Daphnia pulex: one gene and its partner. The protein of the gene in region 1 purifies or fractionates together with the protein of each later gene. This does not show direct contact. Links are inferred from orthologs where the notes say so. Each region holds a gene or a part of one and is shown on either strand. Other genes may lie near its edges. The genes, in order: probable protein BRICK1-B and cytoplasmic FMR1-interacting protein-like.

Evidence for each region.
Region 2: the proteins of probable protein BRICK1-B (region 1) and cytoplasmic FMR1-interacting protein-like purify together in Drosophila melanogaster (affinity purification with western blotting; 4 studies listed by BioGRID). This does not show direct contact. The link is inferred for Daphnia pulex from reciprocal best matches to the Drosophila melanogaster genes HSPC300 and Cyfip.

What each region holds. Positions count from the first base shown.
Region 1 is NC_060018.1:1,420,700-1,423,214, reverse strand, and holds probable protein BRICK1-B, read right to left. Parts: upstream 1,118-2,515; 5' UTR 1,096-1,117; coding exon 981-1,095; intron 912-980; coding exon 829-911; intron 760-828; coding exon 733-759; 3' UTR 631-732; downstream 1-630. Other genes in the region: SLIT-ROBO Rho GTPase-activating protein 1-like, read left to right, coding at 1,811-1,955.
Region 2 is NC_060025.1:3,992,580-3,996,608, forward strand, and holds the end of cytoplasmic FMR1-interacting protein-like, read left to right. Parts: intron 1-17; coding exon 18-188; intron 189-259; coding exon 260-342; intron 343-582; coding exon 583-651; intron 652-867; coding exon 868-941; intron 942-1,010; coding exon 1,011-1,184; intron 1,185-1,254; coding exon 1,255-1,483; intron 1,484-1,541; coding exon 1,542-2,087; intron 2,088-2,156; coding exon 2,157-2,326; intron 2,327-2,417; coding exon 2,418-2,834; intron 2,835-2,906; coding exon 2,907-3,252; 3' UTR 3,253-3,469; downstream 3,470-4,029. Other genes in the region: WD repeat-containing protein 55 homolog, read right to left, coding at 3,486-4,029. UniProt on the Drosophila melanogaster protein: Plays a role in guidance and morphology of central and peripheral axons and in synaptic morphology. Also required for formation of cell membrane protrusions and for bristle development.

The DNA of each region.
Region 1 (2,515 bases):
GCGTAATGACGCGACGGGTTTACTTCCCAGGATACCTGTTAAAAAGTACAACTCAATCCATGTTCAGGCGATATTTCGTCGTTCCAACTTTTTGACCACACGGCGTATTCCGCTGCCTTAGATATTCGCCAGTTTTTTGGTCTCCCTCTCCTGACCAAAGTATCGTGTGCTCCATAATAACTATTTGTGGTTGAATGAGTACGTTGGTGGGGCACCGCAGAAAATGACAGGGACCACTTCTGAGGTATAGACGTCATTCATGCGAGACATTTTAAAGGCCAACATCAATTTCGCTTTCGTTATTGAAGTGAGTGAAAAAATTATCTGGGATCTTTGAATCTTGTAGAAAGGGGAACACTTTGTTGACCATGTATGACTAGCATTTTGAGTAGTTCCTAATGATAAGAGGAGTGGAAAATTAAACCAGTTTCTTGGACTTTGAAAAAAAATCTAAACAAGTTGGACTTGTTTTGATTTCACGATAGTAGCACATTTTTGTCATTCCCAGAATCAAGAAGTATTTTGCATTCCACAGTAGTAGTTAACCTAACACTATAATAAGTGCAAAGAAGGAGTGATACAAAGAATCTTTAAAGAGTCTTTTCATTACAGTAATAATGAATCAATTCATCAAGTGATGCACTGTCTATTCAACTAATGCGACCAAATATGTGTAAAAAAAAGGGCTTAGAGTAAAAGGGAAGGCAAATTTGTACTGTGTTTTGGGAAGCTTCATGTCAGGGTGTCGCCTTTCGTTACCTACAATGGACGAATGATGAAAATGGTAAATTAAATAATCATGATCACATTTATATTGAAAAATATTACTCTGGCTTCCAAGTATTCAATTTTTCTTTCTAGTCTGGTGATTTTTTCGTTGAGCACTGCTAGTCGTCCTCGGCAAGACATATCTGTGTGGGCATGTGCAAGGAAACGGGTTTTACGATGAAACTAAAATTTGTCAGTTTGTAGTGTCCTACCAAAAGAATTGAGAAAATCGGTAATCTTTTTAATGCTGCTGGTGATGACTTCAATGTATTCTCTGTTGGCCCAATCTTGCTGGGTTTGTTTTTGAAGGGTTTGTTTCGTCGACATGTTTTCCCAACTTTGTTTGTGTTGTGAACTGTCAAATCAGCTCCATTAGCTACGCTTCACCATCGCAATCGTACGGAAATTGAAAATACGATTAAAACAGATGAAAAATACAATTAATAAATCGAGAATAATTTAAAATTTTCAAAACAAGTATTAAAATCCGGCCAACACCTTTAGATTTTATGAAAACGATTAAAACACAAAGTAATCAGAAGGCATGTTGCTGAGTACAGCCGCTAGGTGACGCGAGCGTAGCCCTGTTATTGAAAATCTCCATTGAGCCCGAACGGCTGCAGCTGGGCAAGGAAGGAGGAGCATTGTGTGTGGAGGTGGGACGACGCGATAGGGGTAAGTCAAAGTGAAATGTGCCTTGCTTGCGTTAGTTTGGATTTTCAACCGTCTCGTTCAACTTGCCGCCTCTTTTCGATCTCTCCGTTTGACGTTATAGTGTTTGACTCGAAAAGCGACGAGGCGTTCTTGGCACGACAGAAAAAAGTAACCGAAAAGTTGGACTCTCTATCAAGATGTCAGGGTGGGGCGTTTGATCTCACTCCCCCACACACAAAAATCAGAGAGGAGAAAAGAATAAAAAGCTTCTGCCAGTGTGTCGTCTGTATGTGCTGCTGTGCCGTGTAAGAAGTTGGCGTCAGAGAGACTTCCCCATCTCTCTCCATCTTTGGCCGTGTGTGCTGCTAGTCTCTTCATTACGTGTGAAATGTCGGCCAACAAAATCGTCCTCAACATTTCGGCGCCGGTCTCATCTGCTGTCCAACAACAAACGGTCGTCCCGCCAGAGAGTGCCAAGAAAATGGCACGCAAAGACAAAGAGTTTCTGTGGGAACTCGACTCACAAGTGAAAGGTACTATCTCACTTTTTTCTGATTATTATTAGATTCTACATCGTGTGTGGTTGATTTGGATTGTATATATTGATATGTTTTCACTCATTGACGTGCATTTATGATCACAAACCGCGAATCCCCTAGAGTGCCGAAATGCAAAGGGCGAATAGCAACAGTCGCTCTCGTACATATTATATAGGAAATGAGTCGAGTCTCTGAGTTGGGAAGAAGTTTAGACGCAATAAGGTAGAAGGGCTTTCTGCGGTCGGAAGCCACCGGAAGCATTCGGTTGCTGTTTTCCTTATCACGGTCTACGAGTCGTGTTCAAGGTGATGCTCGTTATCACACGTTTCGTCGTCGTCAAAAGCAAAATAAAAACAGATTATCCGTTACTTTGTATAAACTACTAGCTAGGAATCATTGGCAACAATACGAATGTTTGGTTCGTGATGATACCCTCACGACTACGCACTCTGGTCAAAACCGGAAAAGGAAATGACAAATTTTTTGGCCTCTGATCAAATTGTTTGATGTTTCTCCTTGGATTTTGACAATCTTTTGTTGTTTTGCCGTTGGTG
Region 2 (4,029 bases), on another chromosome or scaffold:
CTGCCTTTATTTTACAGGACCTTCTTCGACCCAACTTTACATGGTTCGCACTATGCTAGAGTCGTTAATAGCTGACAAATCTGGTGGAAAGCGAACGCTACGTAAAGACATTGATGGATCATACCTTATGGCAATCGACCAATTTCATAAAAATTCTTTTTTCTGGAACTATTTGCTCAATTTCAACGGTATTTTATATTCAACCTTCGATTTTTACTGAACATACTTTTTCCTAACATTTGTTTTTCTTTTCTCGCAGAAACACTGCAACAATCGTGCGACCTTTCACAACTTTGGTATCGAGAATTTTATCTTGAGATGACAATGGGCAAAAGGATTCAGGTAAGAATATGAAGCTGTTTCTGATCTGGATTTCTGTCAGTGCGAAATTCGGTGGCTGGGAAAGGCTTGGCTCTTTGGTTTATGGAAAAATGGCAATGCAAGCACTTGCCAGTCTACTTTACTTTACCTGAAAGAGGTTGTAAGTAGTATGGCGTGTGCTAAATTTTATTATTCTTTTTCTCTGTCGCGTCTTTCTTTCCTTCGCTTTAAATATCGGTCATTGTCATGTCGAAAATTCAGAAATGTTGCGTGAAACATCAACACAACGAGGAGTGCAAAGACGTGGTCACACTGGAGAAAAGGATTCAGGTATAAGCTGTCACCTTGTTGAGAAACTTCCTCAGCATGATGTCGTATGCTTCTGACTTGAGTAGATATATGCTTGAATTAAACTAAGGTCCCAGCATGGCCTGCATGTACGCAAAATCGCTTGTTATTTAACAGTTAAATTTGTAGTCTTGTAGTTAAATTAAAAAAAATTTCAACATGATTTTACTACATGTTTTTTCGTCTCTTTCTTTTTAGTTTCCTATCGACATGTCGATGCCCTGGATCCTGACTGATCATATTTTGCGTACGAAGGAGCCTTCTATGATGGAGTGAGTTCAAACTCTAAATGCGATTTTTCTGTTAAATTTAAAGTTTGATGTTTGATTTGTGTTTACCAGGTGCGTACTTTTCCCCCTTGATCTCTATAACGATTCGGCTCATTATGCGCTGACCGTTTTCCGCAAACAGTTTTTGTACGACGAAGTTGAAGCTGAAGTCAATCTGTGTTTCGATCAGTTCGTCTATAAGCTGAGCGAACAAATTTTCGCCTACTACAAACACCTTGCTGGCAGGTAAGCATTGCACATTGATTGCTAAACATTGCTAACTTTTCGTTAATAACGTGCGTCCTAACATCCTTAGCATCATGCTGGACAAACGATTTCGTGCTGAGTGTGCCGCATTAGGTACGCGCTTTACCTACCCTCCTGCCAATCGTTACGAAACTCTGATGAAACAACGCCACGTTCAGTTGTTGGGACGTTCAATTGATTTAAATCGATTAATATCTCAAAGAGTTAACGCTGCACTTCTTAAGGCACTCGAGCTATCGGTTGCACGTTTTGAAGGTGGAGATATCACCGGTGTAGTAGTAAGTAATTAAAATGAGCAACTTTGTCCAATTGGATGTAACACAGTCTCAATGACAGGAATTAAGCGGTCTCCTAGACGTGAACCGATTAACTCACAAATTGTTGAGCAGTAACCTTGCGATGGATGATTTCGACGCTATGTGGAGAGAAGCCAATCATAACGTTCTGGCACCCTATGGCCGAGTGACGCTACACGTCTTCTGGGAACTCAACTACGATTTCTTACCCACTTATTGCTATAATGCCGCAACAGGGCGCTTCATCAAGTGCCGAGACCTACTTTTCAGTCAGCCTGTTCACCGAGATAAACCACCTCAAACGCCTTACCATTATCTTTGGGGCAGTAAGGCGCTCAACATCGCGAATGGAAACATCTTCAATCAATATTCCGGATTTGTGGGTGCACCACATTTTAAGGCTATTTCAAATCTTCTGGGTTACCAGGGCATCGCCGTAGTCATGGAAGAGATCCTCAAGATAATCAAATCGTTAGTACAGGGAAACATTTTACAATTCACCAAAACCCTAATGCAGGCGATGCCAAAACAGTGCAAAATGCCTCGTTACGATTACGGATCAACTGGTGTCTTAGGATATTATCAGGTAGAATTTAAATAGCTTCTCCTAACCGAGAAACAATTATTAATTATGTATTTTTTCTTATCTTTACAGGCCCAACTGAATGACATTGTTCAATACCCTGATGCGAGGACGGAATTATTTCATAATTTCCGAGAATTCGGGAACGCGCTGATATTTTGTCTTCTGATTGAACAAGCAATGTCACAGGAGGAAGTTTGCGATCTACTTCAGGCAGCGCCTTTTCAAAATATTCTTCCAAGGTATGTATTATTTTTCCTTTCCATCATTTATAGTAGCTTTAGCTCCCCCTAACGATTCCTTTCGTTTAATGGTTTTGATTGAAACGTACAGACCGTTCGTTAAAGAGGGCGAAAAATTGGAAGCCAAGCAGAAAAAACTGGAGAACAAGTATGCGGCATTGCAAATTGTCGCCAACATAGAAAAGCTGGGCACCGCCAAGCAAACCTTGATTGCACGGGAGGGAGATCTTTTAACCAGAGAACGTCTTTGCTGTGGTCTTTCTGTCTTCGAAATGGTGCTCAATCGCATCCGCACCTTTTTAGACGATCCAATTTGGACGGGTCCTGTTCCTGTCAATGGCGTCCTAACGGTCGACGAGTGTACAGAATTTCACCGACTATGGTCAGCTTTGCAGTTTGTGTATTGCATTCCTGTTGGCGAAAACGAATTTACCGTTGAACAGCTTTTCGGCGAAGGACTTCACTGGGCTGGATGCACTATGATTGCCTTGCTTGGACAACAACGAAGGTTTTGATCTTACTTTTTCAAAAATAATTTTTAAAACAGGGCTGCCTAATTGATTTTCCGTTCTGTCGTTAGATTCGAGGCACTGGATTTCTGTTATCATATTTTGCGCGTACAACGCGTCGATAACAAAGACGAAACTGTGAAGGGTATTCAACTAAAGCGATTGGTTGATCGAATTCGCCGCTTTCAAGTCTTGAATTCACAAGTCTTCGCTACGCTAAACAAATATTTAAAAACGAGCTCGGGTGATGTAGATTCTCAACCGGTGGAGCATGTGCGTTGTTTTCAGCCTCCCATACATCACTCTCTTGCAGTGAATCAGGGTCATTATTATCGACCTGACCAACTACTTCGTCAGTCCATGAATGTAGCCAACACTTCTGGGATAATTGCAAACTTGACGCTAGAACAGCACTGAGCATTTTAATTCGTCTATACATTACTTGTTTTGTCTTATCTAATTTCATTCAGGTTACGAAATATTATGAAATCATTTCCCAATCACTTTACATCCTTTAAAGAAACCTTCATTGCAACGATGTTTTCACCATAATTTCTATATGCCTTAGATCAGTTAGACGTTGCCCGTTGCGATTGTATTAGTCCCGACTTCTTGAATACACCATTCACGTAAAGATGTTAAAATGTAGGTTATTCATCATTGTCTGAACTTACTTCCGACTCTGCTTCAGAAGCAGATTCAGCGTCAGAATCAGATGCTGCATCAGAATCAGATTCGGCTTCAGGTTCGGCAGCTTCGGCAGGTCCAGGCTCAGGTTCGGCAAGTCCCGCGAAAAAATCTCCTTTGTTCCGTCTCTTAGAAGACGGTAGCTGAAATCCTAATTTCTCTTTGCGTAACGAACGTTTTTTGTTGCGGACAGATTTCTTCGTGGTCGACTCCATCAACTTTAAATTGGGATCCTCAAAGTAGGAAATATTCCAAAACCGCACGCGTCCGTCGTGGGATGTAGATGCTATGTAGTGACCACACGTTGAAATGTCTAAACGCTCAATAGGAAATTTGTGGTGACCTACTACCCCCAAGAACCTATGTGGGAATAGACTAATGGCACGGATTTTCCCATCATCACAACCAGTAATAACGATGTTGTCCATGATGGGAATCATGCAGTTGATCGCTGATGGATGATCCCCAAATGCGTCACTGTGGTATCCAAATGCTTTCCAATCAAAG